Rattus norvegicus: one gene and its partners. Each later gene encodes a partner of the first gene's protein in a complex. Links are inferred from orthologs where the notes say so. Each region holds a gene or a part of one and is shown on either strand. Other genes may lie near its edges. The genes, in order: Capn2, Cast and Capns1. A codon is read from its position in the direction of its gene.

Region 1 (5,500 bases):
AAGACCATGATCCTAGGCAGAATGGCCCACTCTCAGGACTCTGAAAGCCATCTCAGATTCAAACAGAAGAATAAGGGAGAGGAGGCTCCTTTTTCTGTGGCAGGGGAGGGACAGAGTCGGGGAGAATCTGGAAGAGAAGCTGGAGACACACTGGGAAATGACTAGTCAAGCAGGGGAATGCTCCAGCTATCATCATCCCCTTCCCAGAAGCTGGTGAAGGTGGGTTGGAAGCCCTGTTTCATTTGTGTGTGTGCCAGCCCGGGAGAGGCAGAGCTGTGGAGACAGGAAAGAAAGAAGGAACCCCAAATGAAGTTACAGCAAGCGAAGCAGTGGGTCAGCCTTGGGCAACAGTAGACACGAGGTTAAAGACAAGAATAGATACAGTTACAAGAATAGATACAGTTACAAGGCTAATATAGGTATGAACAGTTCTTACAGCTAATATTATGGCTGTCGTATTGATACAGAATGAACACATTTTAAGCGATTTTATTTGACAAATACAGATGGAATAACCAGACACATCATGTTTTGTTTGTTAGCCAGGGTCTCGCTGTGTAGCCCAGCTAGCCTGGAACTCTCCATGCAGACCAGGTTGGCCTGGAATTCATGGAGATCTGCCTGTCCCTGCCTCCCGGTGTTGGGATTTAAAGACATGGCCGCCGTGCTCAACACTAGGCATTTGTTTGCATCGTGATAGTTTCCAAGCTTCATAGCTTTCCCCGGAAGCTGTTTATTTTTTCCCACCGTCTGATTTCCTTTGGCCCCACCCTGATTTCTTCTGGGCTCAGGATTCAAAAGGGAAGTGGGGGGGGGTGACAGCAGACAGACACTTGTGAAGTGACAGTACAGACAAGCCCTCGCCTTGCCACAGGGAGACACTTTGATTCCTCCTGGAAGAGAGTCATTTGCATACCACATAGATATTTCAAGTTGCTACAGTCTCCTGCAGCTTCCAGAGTTACAAACTAAGAAACCATGCAATGCTGAACCAAGATGAGGCCCAAACCAGGGTTTCTCAACCTGGCACAGAGACATTGCAAACTGCATTCTTCTTGCTGTTCTCTCTGTAGAGCGATGCACTCGACCTTTAGTAGCACCCAGCTTCCACACAGTAGAGGCCAGGACCCTCTTTTTCCCCAGTTGCAACAATATGAAGAAAGCCTGCAGTTAGGGTCAAGAGCCTCTTGGGTCACACTGGTGGGTGTGGGTTGCTTCCGGTGGAGACCCCGTGCTTTAAACCACTCATAGAACGAGCAGATACTAAGCCAGCCCAGTATTCATTCCAGAGCTATGTTCAGTGTGTGAGCTGCAACTCCGGAACTCTCCCTGGACAAATGGTACCGTGGTACCTGCCACCAGTAGGGCCTCTGTTCTAAATGCTCTCCCAGCAGCAACTCAATAAACCCTCCCAGGTAAATCTGAGTTTTAACTAAGCACCACACTATCATTCTAGCATAGGTTTGCCTCGAGTGATCTTCCCCCTTTTCTTGAAATTTAGATTTAACACGCATAGATGTTTTCTGTCAAATTGTACAGCCCTACTTATGCATGAGTAGCTGTTCAGTAACTACAGAAGCCCTGGAATCTTAAAATCCGTGTGTTGCCAATGCCTAACCAGCTTTAATTCGTGGGGGTTACATCTTTGAGCTTCTATGAGGCTCAGTTTCTCATCTGTAAGATGGACACATCGGTAGCCATTTCTCAGAGATGTTGGGGTGTAGCACATGTGCCCAGGCCTGCAGAGCTCTCCGATCCTGAGCCCAGTGAGTGGTAACTGGCTCGGTCTTCGCGCGCTCACTCCCTCGTCCGCTCCTGACTCATTTGCTGTTTCCTGGACAGTCATTGCTGAGTTTCACCCTGCCTTCTTCCCGTTGAGTCTCAACTTTCGCACCCCAACTTGCAAGTGCCCTCCCCCACCCTCCTCCACGGCAACCGGGCCTCGCCATCCCGGGATCTGTCCGAAGGTGGCAGCATTGGCCCCTCAGTCCTCCACGGTCGGGCTGTCGCTGTGCAGGTCGCCGGCTGGCCGCGTCCGGAGCCCAGCGCCGAGCAGGCCTGGAGAGGCGGAGGCCACACCCCGCGCGCGGCCCAGGCGCTTCCCGCCGGTGAATCATCCCCGCAGCGGCAGCTCCCGCAGTCCGCTGCAGCGCCCCGGGCTTGGCCGCGCCCCAACCGAGTGCTGCGCCCCGCCTCTCCGCGACCCCTCTCTCTGTGCTGTGCGCCATCCCGATCGCTACCATGGCGGGCATCGCGATGAAACTGGCCAAAGACCGCGAGGCGGCCGAGGGGCTGGGGTCTCACGAGAGAGCCATCAAGTACCTCAACCAGGACTACGAGACACTGCGGAACGAGTGCCTGGAGGCCGGGGCGCTCTTCCAGGATCCTTCCTTCCCCGCCCTGCCGTCGTCCCTGGGCTTCAAGGAGTTGGGGCCCTACTCCAGCAAAACTCGGGGCATCGAATGGAAGCGGCCCACGGTAGGAAGCGCGAGGGGAACGGGTAGGGCCGGGATGGCCTGGAAGGGCACTCGGGGTTCCGGGAGGCTCCAGAGGGAGGCTGCGAGCCCCAGGCTACCGGGTTTGGTAGTCCTGACTTGGTAGTGCTCCTCGATTGCTGCTAAGGGGACTCCAGATGCAGGCTGAGGCCCACCCAGTGGACCTGTCTCAAGCTGCGCCCAGAGCGCTTCGCAGGACAGGACCCCAAATCCCATTAAGTGGACACGCCCTGGGCCTTCGGCTTCGGCTTCACACAGCAGCAGGGCCGCTGGGGTGAAACTTTTATTGGACTTTAGTGGTGAGACGGAGGGAGGAGACATGGGTCAGCTGTGGGGGGTGGGGTGGGGATATCGGAGTTAGGTAGAAGACTCTGGATTGCTGGGGTGAGGGGTAAGGGGCGGTCACAGACTAGCGCTGGCTAACATAGGTGGTCTCAAGTACATGAGGTAAAACGTTACATTTATCCAACTTGAATCTAGTCTATTTCTCAAAGTGCAGTTAGAGGATCCCTCCTCCAATATTGCCCAGGTAACTTAAAGAATCGAAGGGCTCCAATGATCCTGTTACTCATTATTTTGCTGGCCTAGAGTCCTCACCTGGTAACCTCTGCTCGACTCCTAGATGCTCTTGTTCCAACCCTCAGGGCCTCTGCCCTTGAGCCCTTCCCTTTCCCTTATGGTTTAAGGGTTCAGTAGAAGCCCTGCTGGTCCTCATCCCATGGGACCCCGCTTGACTTTTCCAGGGAACAGAGAGGAAATCTAAACTTTTAGATTCCTGTTAGGACAATGGACATTCATACCCTGCTTTCATACTCTTGGTTCTCCCAGGCTGCTTTTGTTATCCTGAATCTAGTCCGAAGTACCCTGGACTAGCTGGGGTGTGGCTCAGCTGGTAAAGTCTTTACTCAGTACGCCTGAAGCCCTGGGTTCTAACCCAAGCACCACATAAAATCAGGAGTATGGTAATGTATGCCTGTAATCCCAGCACTCAGGAGGCGGCGACAGGAGGAGATCAGAGATTCAAAGCCAGGGGCCATAAAGATGGCTCAACCTACTTAGTTCTATCCCAGAACCCACCTGGAAAAAGAGAACCAGCTTCCAAAAATTGTTCTCTGACCTCCACATGCACACTGTGGCACACAAGCAGAGTCTCACAGGCACGTGCGCGCGCGTACACACACACACACACACACACACACACACACACACACACACTAAATAATAAACGACGGAGACTGGTCTGGGTTATGCAGTGCATTTGAGGCCAGCCTGGACTACATGAGATCTTGACTCAAAATTTAAAAGTCTCTGTGGAGCAGGACCCAGAGCACCTGGGTACCTTGGATGGCTCACTGGCTCTCTCTTCCTCACCTCAGCTGGGCGTGGAGGTACACACCCTTGATACTTTGTAGCTTTGGTTGCTTAGTAAGTTCGAGGCCAACCTGAGCTACAAAGTAAGACTGTGTCTCAAAATTAAATGAAATAAAAATAAAACAAACCAGACCTCTCTGCTTTCTCTCTTCCCTAGCACCCTTGGGGCAGCTGCCATGGCTGGTGTCCCCTTCCTGGAGACCCCGTTCTTCTCTCTTACCCTTCTCATCTCCCAGGCATGCTCTTCCTGCAAGTCTGGCTCATTCACATTCTTTCCGAGAGTCCTTTTCCACCCTGCTGTTCTCTGTCCAATGCTCATTTCTGTCCTGGAGTTGTCACCATGAACCAACGCAGTCACATGTTTTCTTGCTTGGCTGAGCTGCTGTGTGTTATTTGCCATGTGCTCTCAGTGTCTTGCCAGGGTAGTGTCCCTTCTCAGGATTCATTCACTCACTCATTGATTCACTCATTCAATCACTCACCAGCATGTAGGGAGTGCTTACCTTAGCCCAGGCATTGGGACATCCATGAACAACAAGTCAGCAACTAATTGGAGAACGAATGAATGAACAAATGTACAGTCATTATGAACCTCAGATGACATCCGGCTGGGGAGACGACTCACAGACAGGAGAACGTGTTCCTTACATTTGCTTACTGTTTTACAACTTCTTATCCTAGTATCATTTCTGTGGTTATAAGACACCCTAAGCAAAAGCAACTAAGGGGAACAGCTGGCTTACAGTTCCAGGCTACAATTCATCATTAAGGGGAAGTCAAAGCAGGAACTCAAAGCTGAGGCACGTTCACCACCCACACACATACTGAGTCCACGGACCTTCCATTCAGTCGATGAGCAGTGATTGAACACCTCTTTTATTCCAGGCACAGTATACTTAGTTTCTGTCTCTGAACCCACGGAGGGCAGAAATGTCCTTCAACAGGTGACAGTGCCCGTGGACCTTCTGAGTAGAAAAAACAGAATTCCAGAGCCACTTCAGGGACACTGCCTAGGGCAAGCGGGCTATGCACCACACATCTTCATACAGTTGGAGAGACCAAAGCTTAGGAGTGTCAAATTTTCTCAAAACAAATAAGGACTGGAGCCGTGGCATGGCTGGACTACCTGTCTTGACCTGTCCTGTCAAACACCCGTGACTTGATTTAAGAGTTGTTTGGCTGTGAACAACTTGAGTTTGCTAAAGGTTGAATCACGAAAGAGGAAGGGATTAAAGGTGACTTCCAGAGAAAGCAGGACAGGCAAGGGAGCCGGTTAGCCATGTTGTGGGCTTGGGAGCTGATAACTCTTCCCGAGAGAATGTCATAGCACTGGCAAGAGAGCTCTCCACTGCAAAGAGATGACATAGACCATGACCACAGCCATACTGAGGGCAGTGGCCATGCCAGTCCACAGTGACGAGTGGCCCAGCATCATCTAAGGCTGGCCCATGAGGTCCTCCCAGCTGTCATGATAGAGTATTTGCCAAGGCCATTCACCTGACCCTGAGAACAGTCCTCTGTGGTGGTACACTTGTCTTCTTCAAACCCATTGTACAGATTCGGAACAAGCTTCAGGATGTCAAGTAACCCACCAGCATCCCAGGCCTTAGGCAATAAACGGCAGGGCTGAGATT
Region 2 (5,756 bases), on another chromosome or scaffold:
GGGTGTTCCCTTCCCCACCCTCCCCCCATTGCTGCCCTCCCCCCAACAATCTAGTTCACTGGGGGTTCAGTCTTAGCAGGACCCAGGGCTTCCCCTTCCACTGGTGCTCTTATTAGGATATTCATTGCTACCTATGAGGTCAGAGTCCACGGCTTAGCATAGGTCTCTAATACCTCCTTGTATCAAGAACCTGGTGCTAGATTTTTTTTTTTTAAGGATAAATAGTTGCAATATCCACAGACATTGTTATAGGAAATGCTGCCTCTATCTGTGCAGGGATTCTCTAAGATCCCCAAATGTGAAGACCTTCCTTTCATGGTTTCAGTAACTCTCAGTTACAAAGCAAAATACTTCAACTTCTGACATTAGTTTTTACTCATAGCCATTAATGTGCTGGGAAACAGTGTTTGACTTAAATACTGAGTCAAGCAAAACCTGAGAAATAGCATTGTTAAGCTTTATGGATTTTCATAACTTGTGGCAAATTGTAGTCAGTAAGTTATAGAATGCCAAATAGATCTGTTGATCTGAACGGAGACCCTCAGCTTCATAAGACAAAAAGATGAGAGTGTTCCCTTTATTTCCTGCAGTGTCTCTTCTCTTCCTGTCCACACTGTACCAACACCCTCTACATTTCTCTTTTCTTGTCTATAATCAACAGTACCCATGAAACACCACATTCCAGAAGCACATTTGTCTTTATTTACATACTGTATATTTCCCATTGCCACCCAATCAATCACCAACTAAATCCAAATAACTTGTAAGTTCCTGGGTCCCAGGGGAGTCCCAAGTTTAGTCTTTGCATATCCTTCTCTCTACTATTCCTCCCATAGGGCTTTACATAGAAGACTCTCAATGAATGCAAAATTAACTGGTTTAAATTCAATTTTTAAATATTCTGCTGAAAAACATAAGACTTTTTTTTTTCAGTCTAACGATTTTCCCTATTTTGGATGTAAATGATGCATGCCACCAACCAATCTTTGCTAATGACAGTTTGTACACCAAAATGTTTCAATTTATGTATGCATTCTTGCACTGCTACCTATCTTTTGAAATATTGGTGACATTATACATAGAGCACTTCACGAAGAAATGCATAAAATCCAAGAACATTGCTAATTAATTTGTGAGAAGTTGAGAGATATCCCTAAAATTGAAGGGGCACTGGACAACCATAATTCTGTTCTGCCAAGCTCCTTATAGCATGGCAAATCTTGCTCTGTAATGGGGCTTCTCTCTTGTCATCTGTCTAAAACCTAGCTCTCTAGCATGTTGACGAAAAACCACAAATCACAATGCTATTGTGGTGGCACAGGCTTTTTTTGTGGCTGGCACTAGTCAGCAGTATCTGCAGGCTGACAAACCCTTTGGATGAGTACTCAAAAAGATTGTTAAATTTCACTTCCAGCCCCAAACCAGGAAGTACTGCCTAAAATGAAGCCAAGTCAAAAGCAATTCAACATCAGAAATGTAGGCTCCAGAAAAGGAGATGACTTTAAAGTCCGTGATTGTCTGCTGATTTGGATTAGAGCAGGCAGGCTAGCTTCTGCTTGTAAACCATTAGTACACTTACAGAATTGCCTATATAAATAATCAAATACAGGACATAGCACACTCAGAAGTACACAAACACTGAGAGACCAATTTCTTCTCAAGATCCTTTCTCTTATCTTTAGTTCGGATTTAGGCTAGAGTTGAATTAGTGACAGATTGCAGAAAAGTGTCTAATTCTCCAAATTCTTAGGAAAGGAAGTCTAGACCACGCCCCAGTTTAGCTCTCTGGTTACACAATGTCTAGATTGGTCTGGACAAGTCCACCCGGGAACTGCAACCTCCAGCTTCCCCAATTTGTGATCCACTGAGAACCCTGCAGTTTTGGGGCCAGTCTGGGGAGGGTCTTGTGTACGAACCCTGAGCAGAGGGCGTTAAACTGCAGTTCAGGGTTGCTGACAAATTGGGCAGTGAGCGGCCCACAGGAAGAGGAGGGCCTAACCGGGCGAGGGGGAGCTGGCCCGGGCTCAGGGCTGGGTCGGAAAAGCTGCCTCACTGCGCCGTTCCGCTCCACCGCCCCGAGCTCTGGCCTGGGCCTCCCGTACAATTTCTCTGCGCTTTCCCAGAGGCTGCACTCGCAGCAGTTTCACCAAATAATGTCCCGGCCCGGCCCGAAGCCCGCCGCCTCTTCCAGGCCCCGGCGCGGGGCGGCAGCTAGCCACACCCAGGAGGTGAGTAGTACTCCGAACCGAGCCGCGGGGCAAGCGGCAGGGGGCCGTAGTCCAGGAGTGCCTCGCAGCAGTTCTGGGGCGTTGCCCCTCCTTGGCACCTTCCAGATAGGAAAAGGATCAGAGCTCTGTGACTGCGGGCAAGCAGGTGGCCCCAGGCTCTTTAAATTTGGTAGTGTCACGAGTTGGGTGGAGGGGCTCTTGGAGCAACACGGGCTAGTGAGACCAAGGCAGTGCACAAGGCATGGAAGCAGAATAAAGTATACTCCGGACTTTCGGAGTGAGTGGGCTCGTACGGCACGGCAGAGGGCCTCTGCCCTCCATGTGAAGTCACCCCCCACCCCCACCCTCACACACTTTCCATGTAGGGAGTGGCGGCTGAAGAACTGACACACACCTCTTTCCTAATTAGCCAGATCGGACAGGGCGGGACCACGCTAGCTGTGGGCGGGTCCTATCGCTCCTTTCCCTTGTGCCCTCCCACCGGGCAGCTGCGTAACACCCTGTGCCCTGTCAGAAAGGTCCCAGCCAGGCAGAGAGTCGTAGTGGTGCCACCAGCACCTCACTCTTCGTCCTGGACAGCTTCCCAGCAGCGCGGCTCGGAGCACGTCAGGGTTGTCGCCATGGCATTCGCAAACTGGTGGTACAAGACGGTAAATAGAAGGGACCGAGCTTGGGCAGCACTGGGAAGGGAGTGTATTTACCTCGCCCCACTGGCAGGTTGAGGAAATATGGCATGAAGTTGGAGGGCCAAGGGTGAGACCGGGTGAGAACTCCTTGCAGACCTTCTGGTTAAGCTCGGGCAGAAGCTGGAGGCTCTCCCTTCCGTGGTATGCGGACGCATACTGGGCGGTACAGTCTGGGCAGCGAGGTGCACCAGGCTCAGCTCGCATTCCCAAATTGAATGGACAGCAATCCTTAATTTCTGCCCTTTGAAACACTTACCTGGATACATAGAAAAGAAGCACTGAAGCCCAGGTTTAGTTTTTCGACTGCTAAGTAAAGATAAAAACTTACAAAGAATGGTGGGTGAAGCAGTTTCAAACTCGAAAGAGGAGGATGGGGAATGGAAAAGAAGAAAAGATCAGAGAACAATTGTGATCAATTAATACTCTGGCGGGAAGGGGGATGGGGGAGAGAGAGAGAAATGAGTATATGTCACTACTCTGTATTACTTTGCAAGAGGACAAACGTGTTCCATTTGGTTAGTGGTTAGTCTGTCCTACCAAGTATGTGTTATACCCAGTCAAACTGGAACTTGTAATGTTTTGAAACCAGGAAGCATGGTTTTTACATTACATTTAAAAAAGAAAAAACAACAACAAAAACAAAAGTTTCCAACCCTTTGTTGACAGAGAGTCATGAGGTGATTTATGGTGAGAATTTCAAAATCTTAGGTCCACCTTCTCAGGAGGTGGTATGGACAAAGTAAAGATGCAGTAATCAGATAATCTTTGCATCTACAAACTTTGGGTTAGAATTAGAAAATAGGCATTGAGAACTGATTGATCATCTAAGTGTGCTAGCCTTCAAGTGCACTGTAGAGTTCTTAACTCAAGTGGCAATGATTTCAATGTGTGAGTCTTTATGTTTTCATATCTGTCAAATACCAAATATTTACATAAGGACTATTCAGCAGTAGACATGCCACATATGTGTTTTCAGTGATGTTTCTTCATGAATGTTCTCCCTTACACTTTTCTGTGCTGTTTAAATGTATAGTTTTATTAATTTGCTGAGAGCGTATGTTTGCATTGAGTCATGATTGTCCCAGAATTCTTATCAAAATGCACCCATTAAATTATCTGCAAATATGGGTGGCAGGTGTTCAACTAACATCAGATTTCTCTGTCCAAGCTTGGCGTTGTCTAAAGGAAATTGTGCCAGCTACTTAGATGAAGATAGCTTAGATCTTTGCTTTTAATACCTACTGCACTGTGTGAGACACTTTGATATTTTTGCCCAAATTCCACTACAAGCCAGTTTGGGGATTATTATTTAAGACTTCTGCTTGTGCTAACTTTCTAGAACTTTCAGCATGCTTGTGATCAAGTTTTGACTTTTCTCCAGCAGAAAAGTACTATGATACCCAAAAGGGCTTTAAAAATTTGTAACAGTCCCATTAACAAAAATATTTTAAGAAGTCAAGTATGTTAATAACATTTTTGTTAACTGGCTCTATCCTAGGTGACATTTAAGTATGTAATCATGTGCTAAAAATGACAAGTCACCTCTTTTTGTGCTAATTACTCAAAAATCTGGCTGTGCAGTTATGTTATACTCACAGTATCTCCCAATTCCCATATTTCAGAGTTTCACTTGCCACTGTGGCTAGTGAAATAACACAGGCAGGAAAGCTCTAAGTGGCTTGTTCCTAATCTTCTTTTGTTTTTATTGTTGTTGTTTGTTTGTTTGTTTGTGTTTTTTACATTTCATTTTGAGAATGAAATATAGTACTTTCTCTCAACAATATACATATATAATTTGCCTCTTCAAGGCATGCAAAGTCTGCACAAATCTTTCTCCAATGCCAATTTTAACATATAGATACATATAAATGCATATGTTCTTATATTCTGTGCATATATAAAATATGTGTACATATTTTCATATGTGCAATGTATATATTAAGTAGTTTTGTTTATGTGCCTATGAATAAAAGTGTGCTGTTAAACCCTTTTATCACATATTCAGCCACCAATCAAAAATAATTTTTAAAAATTGAATCTTCATTGAACATGTATCAATTTCTTTTGTCATTATTCCCCAAGCAATATAATATAAAAATGTGGATATGCCTTAATATTGGGTATCATAGAGCACAGGAAGACAGTGAATAGTTTAGATGTGAACATGCTATTTCATACAAGCCATTTGAGCATCTGCAGGATTTGATTTCTCAAAACATTTCTAAAACCAGTTTCCGAAAGATACCAATGGAATTCTACACACACCGCACACACATCCTTGTAGAATACTTCTAGTGAGTCCTATAATTAGAATATCCTTAGTATCCTTAGTAAGATTCTTTAAATACTAAAAATAATATGAGTGATCTAACTTTATACAGAATAAAAGTAGAGTAATGCAAAGATATGTTCATTTAAGAGCATGCTACTTGTAAAGCCAACCAAGGAAACATAATATTGTACATTTTCACACTGATTACCATCTGAATATTTTTGATTGTAGTAAAAACCAACTTTATAAAATTTGTTAAAAAGCTACATTTAGAGAATATCTGATGAACATCATAATTATCAGAACTCAGTATACTTGGCTTACATAAATAATTAGATTCCTGACTCATATCTTGATTCTGTTACCTTGTGATAATTAAAGGTGTTTTTTAGTTTATTTAGATTTATAGCCCCAGTGAGAGCATAATCAAGGTACTCAGTCATTTGGAAGGCTCCACCATTGCAGCTAGACTGGCCAAAGTGTTGCAGACTACCCATGGCAAAACAGACAACTTGGTTGCAATAGATTTTCCGGGGGCAAGGGTGGAGGCAAAATTATGAGGTCTGCATA
Region 3 (5,693 bases), on another chromosome or scaffold:
TTGTATGTGTGCTTTGCTTGCATGCATGTCTTTGTACCACATTTGTGTTGGTGCCTTTAGAGCCAGAAGAGGGTGCTAGATCTCCTAGAAGTGGACTTCAGCTATGAGCTGCCTATGGGTGCTCAGAATTGAATCCAGGTCCTCTGGAAGAGCAATCCATACTCTTAATTCCTGAGTCATCCCCTAGCAAAGCACCCGTGAATCTTTCTTTGTTTGAGTCAAGGTCTCACTATGTAGCCCCATCTGTTCTCTGGAACTCACTGTGTAGACCAGGCTGGCCTCAGACTCAAGAGTTCAGCCTGCCTCAGCCCCCAGACTACTGGTATCAAAGGCAGTCTGCGATAGGCTCCCTGAAGCATTTTTAAATTGTTTTGAGATAGGGCCCTGTGGTGTAGCTCACCTGCCTTAGTCTTCTGGGCCCTGGGCAAGTATCATCCCGTTTACTGATGTTCTGAGGGCACCAAGCTGGTAGCCTCACCGAGTCCTGGGTGAAGGTGAGGACAAAGAGGACTTCCCAAGTGAGAGACGCCTGAGCTCCCATCCAAAGCGGAGGACACAGACAGTCAAATCCAAACACAGGAGTATTTGTAGGCAGAGGGCAGGGCTTGTGCCAGTGAGTTGAGCCTGAGGTCAGACTGCTTAGTGTGGCAGAGGGGTGTGGCAGAGGGGTGTGGCAGAGGGGTGTGGCAGAGAGGGAATCCACATTAGTCATCACCAAATCATTTATCCGCTCTGGCTTAGATCTGGGTCACCACCCTCTGTGATCCCGCCTTTCAGAGCTTCCAGTTTCGCTAAGGTTAAGTCTTGCTTCCCACACACACAGGCCTGAGCAACAATTAACCTGGCTTGCTCCCAGCAAGCCCTTAGGTGGTGTTAGTGCCATTGCAATTTTGTCCGTTGAGATCTTATTTGACTGATGATCACATTAAATTATTGGAGATTCTTTGAACAGGTAAGGCAGACTGGTTGTTTAACCTCAGTTTACCTATATATAGAATGGGGACAATAACAGCGTCTGTCCCACAGTCCTGCCGCGAGGGCACACAACCTGGTGAGCGCAGAGCACGGAGGAACTGGCAGTTACTTGTCGATATTGCTTAAGGATGGGCAAGAGTAAATGAGCTGAGGGATCGGGGTGAGCTCCTAGCTGAGGGAACAATATGGTGACCTGGGGACTAACAGGAGAGCTGCCATTTTCCCTGTATTTATCACTTAATTCTGGGGCTCATCCAGGGGAACCTGTGTCTAACGTCCTCGAGGGTCTCATGTAGCCGCCCCCACCTCCAAGGGCTGGTGTTACAGGTGTGCGTCATCACGCCTGGCTGTGTTCCCTCCTTACAGATGAGGAAATCATTACTCAGAGACACCAGGTCACTGTTTTAGGGATGAGCAATACAGGCTCAAACCAAGGTTTACATAGTCCCAACGGAGCGGCCAGACAGCCAGACTAGAAGCCAAAAGGCGACCTGGGTGGGAGGCACAAACTGAAGGTAAACTAAAGATTTAGAGTCCTAGCATTGGAGAAGCAGAAGCAGGAGGATTGCTTCGAGTTTGAGGTGAGCCAGGGCTTTAGATCAGCTTAGGGTGTTGAACAAAACTCTATCTCAAAGTGCACGATGAATGAATGAATGACAATAACTGAAGTCCTTTTTTGCAACTATATACTGCAAAGGTGACCAGGTAGCCTGGATCTAGTTCCTGGAGGCTCCAGTGCCTGGGCGTTAGAATGGTCTACTCGTACTCATAGCTATTAAATCTGGAGAGCGTTGAATTACCAGCAGTGTGTGTACGGGGAGGGCTGAGCTAGGTAGAGACACAATCATAGCCCGCTACGTAGGGCGGGGCCTCCTGCGCAGGCGCAGTCTGCAATGGCGGCTCTAGGACCGCGCGGACCGCGGCTGGGTGGCGAGCCGGCTTTAACCCGGAGCTGCCTGAGTCACCGGCCCCGCCCTCCAGAGCCGGACACAGCGGGAGGCCCAGCGGCGGGCGAGCAAGACCGCGGACCGCCGGATCCGTAAGTGAGACGGGGCGCTTCAGTCCAGCACCCCTGCACCCCGCTGCCCGGGATCCGCTGTCCTCAGATCTGGCGAGACCCTAAAGTCGTGGCCTTGGGGGTCTTAGGACCCGTGTTCTCAGATCCGAACAACCAGGCCTGTCAGACGCTGGTCATTCCCTCCAGAGCACTCCTTGCCATCCCGGAACTCAGGATCAAAAATATAACCCCAAAGATCAGAGAGGCACCCATAAATTATCTGGGGCGTCTAGAACCACGATCCGAGATCCTGGTTCCAATTTGCGGTGTGTAGAACTCCGTTATCCGGGATCCTCCGGGCGCACAGCCATAATTTTAGGCCGGAGTCCCACAGATCCCTAATGACAGTGTAGTTCCTCTGTCGAAACTACCTGAATGTCCTAATCCACATTAGGGACTTCCTGGACTCAGCCCTGGGTCACCCCTACCCTGAGCTCAATTCTGGAAGGCCTGGATCTGAGACACGTCCGGTATACCTTACCCAACTGGGGAGTGGGGGTCCTTACATGGGGAATCCCCTGTTTCCCCGCTGCCTCAAGACAGGGGTAATCCAGGCTGGCGCTGTAGCCGAGGTTGGCCTTGAACTGATCCTCCAGCCTCAGCCTCCCAATTTCTGGGATTACAGTTGAGCGCCACCACGCTCGTCCAGCTCTACCCCTGTCCTCATTGACCACGTTTGCAGTCAAGCCTGGGCCAGGGTACCTGCTAGACCCTAGGAGGTTTCGCACCTTCCTGTCACCTGTCCAGATTCTGCCCCCATCCCGAGGCCTCTGTTCTGTCCCCAATCTAATTGCCGGAAATGCTTTCTTTTTTTTTCTTTTTGCGGGAAGGGCTGGGTTCTTGGCAAGACGACTACCTGACCCACCCCCTTTTCTTTACAGGACTCTGCTGCAAACATGTTCTTGGTGAATTCGTTCTTGAAGGGCGGCGGTGGCGGTGGGGGAGGCGGGGGTCTGGGCGGGGGCCTGGGCAATGTGCTCGGAGGCCTGATCAGCGGAGCTGCTGGAGGCGGCGGCGGTGGAGGCGGCGGTGGCGGCATGGGACTGGGAGGAGGTGGCGGAGGCGGTGGAACAGCCATGCGTATCCTGGGCGGAGTCATTAGCGCCATCAGGTAAGGCGGGGCCTAAAGGGGCAGGGTGGGCCAAATTATAAAGAAGCTCACTTAGAGGTCCGACATGGGAATCCTAATTAGGTTGGGCTGGTCCAAACTGGAAAAGTGGCCCTAAGGGGATCCCAACGAGACTGGTGTCACTTTTTAAAAACTGGGTTAGTAAACTTGCTTCTGTGGGTCAATAAATAGGATGCAGTTTCTTGGGGGTGGGGAGGAGGTACTCTTCTGTGTTTGGGGAAGGTATGATCCTATAAGACTGTATCCAGTCTTCACTGGGGGCGGAGCCAGTGGATCTGAAGTTGCTCCATGATTTAAGATTTGACCTAAGTGGAGCTTGCTGTTATAGGAGAGATCAGAACCCCCGAAAGAAGAAATGGTCCAGAGAAGGTTGTGTGGGGTCGGGAGCTGATTGGGTTGGTGGATAAAAATCCTAGCTGGGGTAAGAGCAGGTGACTGACACCTGATTATCTTTGGCGATCCAAGCAGTGATTCCTGGGAGGAGTAGGTGTTGATGGGGGAGAGGTTGGGAAGCTAGATAATCTGCAAAAGGAGCGATGGAGTCAGGCTCTGGACAAAGACCTGACCTGAGGAAGATAGAGGCATAGGGGAAACTGGTGCAGACCGACCCCTTAAGAAGCGAGTTCTTCAAGGGGCGGGCCCTGTTAAGTTTGGTGGGTTTTCGGGATTTTGATTGGGGCTAAGATGCTTCTGACATTGTGATTGGTGGGTGTTCCTGGGGCAAGGTAAGGATTCTTCCGTGGGGTGGGCCCTTGGGAGGTGGGAGGGGTTGGCCTGATGGAGGAAAAGGAGGAGCCGCAGAAAGCTGTTGATTGGGCCAGGTGAGAACGACGAGATAGACGAGAGGAGGAGGGACCCCTTAAGGAAGAGGAGGGCTGGAGTTTGAGGGGTTGACTGACCGTTCTGCCGCCCGTTGGAGGCTCTGCCCCCATGCGCTAACTCACCCTTGTCTCCCCTCAGCGAGGCTGCTGCGCAGTACAACCCGGAGCCCCCGGTAAGCGGCCCTAGAGACCCTTCCTCCCTAGGCCTGTTGCCCGCATTATCTTACCCATTCCTATGTATAAGGCTCCCCTTCCTTCCTTGGAAAATTCCCCTGCCGGCAAGAATGTCCTTTTTGAGGGCCCCTATTGTCTCAGCCACGCTACTTGCTACACTCACCTCAAACTGCCCACCCCTCCCTGACTTTTCCCTGGGATCTTGGGTATGAGGAGAGAGACGTGTTTCTCCACGTCTGTTCTGAAATCGCTTCTCTCTGCAGCCCCCACGTAGCCATTACTCTAATATTGAGGCCAACGAGAGTGAAGAGGAACGTCAGTTCAGGAAACTTTTTGTCCAGCTGGCTGGAGACGTAAGTATACTGCGTGGCTGCTCCACGGTGTTACCTGACTGTGAAAAACCGGAAGTTCCCACCCCGTTTTGTTTTATGGTATCCAGACCTCTTTCCATCTCCCTTGAACCATACTTAACTTCTGCCATCAGGACATGGAGGTCAGCGCTACAGAACTCATGAATATCCTCAACAAGGTCGTGACCCGACGTAAGTGACCAGGGTCAGGGAGTGATGAAGGTGTAGAGGCGTATGGGCTGGGATGATCTTTGACCTCTGACCTTCAACCTGTCCACCCATCTAACCCCCCTCAGACCCAGATCTGAAAACTGATGGGTTCGGCATTGACACTTGTCGGAGCATGGTGGCTGTTATGGATGTATCCTTTTGGGGCCAGTCTGGAGGATGTCTTGGGTGAAGAGGGTGTTTTCTGGGAGTATGTTGAGGACAGACGAGGTGAAGCCTTCATACCTGAGGACACAGGCCTACCTACATGACACCACCAGAACTTTACCTGGATTAGGAGACCCAACCTTTACAGATACCTTGTTAGATAAGGACAATGTAATAGGAAAGGAAACAGGGTCAGAGAGACACAGTGGTTTTTTTTTTTTTTTTTTTTTTTTTTTTAATTAAAATTGCACCCTGGTGCATTGATTTTAATTTGGGAACTCAATCCAAGGCAGTTTCTCCTTAGTGGTGGCCCTCTGGCCCTGGACACACACACACAGACTGGGGGCCCGCAGAATAGCTGGAACAGCAAGGGATGGGACAATCAAATATCCATTCATCAGAGGGCAGCCAAGTCTTCAGTTCTGCACACCTTGCTGGTGATTGGGTGACAAGTTTCAGAGAGACACAGTGGTTTTGTCTCTGGCCAACCCACCCAGAACTCACTGGACTTGAATATCTGATCTTGGAAGCTAATCTTGGGGCTACTCGAGACTTAGATAACAGAACCAATCATTTGGAGAATACATGGCAGGTTAGGAATTTGGACTTGGGAGTTTCGATTTGAGAATCTAAGCTGCTTTTATTTCTCTATTTACTTTTAAATGATATTGATTGATTGATTGGTTTTTGAGACCGGGTTTCTCTGCCTTGGCCGGCCTGGAATTCACTCTGTAGACCTGGCTGGCCTCGAACTCCGAGATCTGCCCACCTTTGCCTCCCAAGTTACAGAATTAAAGGAGTGTGCCACCATC

The links.
Region 2: the proteins of Capn2 (region 1) and Cast are in contact, whole or in part, in a crystal structure (PDB 3BOW), measured with the Rattus norvegicus proteins. Residues at the interface, in NP_058812.1 of Rattus norvegicus: Glu62 (codon at 2,425), Leu63 (codon at 2,428), Ser68 (codon at 2,443), Lys69 (codon at 2,446), Gln99, Gly100, Ala101, Leu102, Gly103, Trp106, Lys161, Asp162, Leu165, Leu166, His169, Ser196, Gly197, Gly198, Thr200, Ser241, Asp243, Ile244, Thr245, Asp249, Ser250, Glu251, Ala252, Val253, Val259, Lys260; in NP_445747.2 of Rattus norvegicus: Glu571, Leu572, Asp573, Ala575, Leu576, Asp577, Glu578, Leu579, Ser580, Ser582, Leu583, Gly584, Gln585, Arg586, Gln587, Pro588, Leu596, Asp597, Asp598, Lys599, Val600, Lys601, Glu602, Lys603, Ile604, Lys605, Ala606, Glu607, His608, Ser609.
Region 3: the proteins of Capn2 (region 1) and Capns1 are in contact, whole or in part, in a crystal structure (PDB 1KFU), measured with the Homo sapiens proteins. The link is inferred for Rattus norvegicus from reciprocal best matches to the Homo sapiens genes CAPN2 and CAPNS1. Residues at the interface, in NP_001739.3 of Homo sapiens: Ala2, Gly3, Ile4, Ala5, Lys7, Leu8, Ala9, Arg12, Glu13, Glu16, Phe60, Arg366, Arg416, Arg417, Arg418, Arg420, Asp494, Ile516, Phe551, Glu575, Lys578, Val581, Asp582, Asp585, Gly588, Ser589, Gly590, Gln641, Leu642, Gln644; in NP_001003962.1 of Homo sapiens: Thr85, His86, Ser88, Asp111, Asp112, Met113, Glu114, Ser116, Thr118, Asp142, Arg145, Ser146, Ala149, Val150, Met151, Asp152, Ser153, Asp154, Thr155, Thr156, Gly157, Gly160, Phe161, Glu163, Asn206, His208, Leu209, Met212, Ile213, Arg215.

Annotation. Positions count from the first base shown.
Region 1 is NC_086031.1:96,728,941-96,734,440, reverse strand, and holds the start of Capn2 (calpain-2 catalytic subunit), read left to right. Parts: upstream 1-1,815; 5' UTR 1,816-2,241; coding exon 2,242-2,478; intron 2,479-5,500. UniProt on the Homo sapiens protein: Calcium-regulated non-lysosomal thiol-protease which catalyzes limited proteolysis of substrates involved in cytoskeletal remodeling and signal transduction. Proteolytically cleaves MYOC at 'Arg-226'.
Region 2 is NC_086020.1:5,813,237-5,818,992, reverse strand, and holds the start of Cast (calpastatin), read left to right. Parts: upstream 1-2,006; 5' UTR 2,007-2,153; coding exon 2,154-2,228; intron 2,229-2,697; exon of another isoform or gene 2,698-2,848; coding exon of another isoform or gene 2,849-2,878; intron 2,879-5,756.
Region 3 is NC_086019.1:94,578,505-94,584,197, reverse strand, and holds the start of Capns1 (calpain small subunit 1), read left to right. Parts: upstream 1-1,976; 5' UTR 1,977-2,014; intron 2,015-2,913; 5' UTR 2,914-2,928; coding exon 2,929-3,143; intron 3,144-4,121; coding exon 4,122-4,155; intron 4,156-4,419; coding exon 4,420-4,509; intron 4,510-4,640; coding exon 4,641-4,698; intron 4,699-4,802; coding exon 4,803-4,867; intron 4,868-5,693. UniProt on the Homo sapiens protein: Regulatory subunit of the calcium-regulated non-lysosomal thiol-protease which catalyzes limited proteolysis of substrates involved in cytoskeletal remodeling and signal transduction. Essential for embryonic development.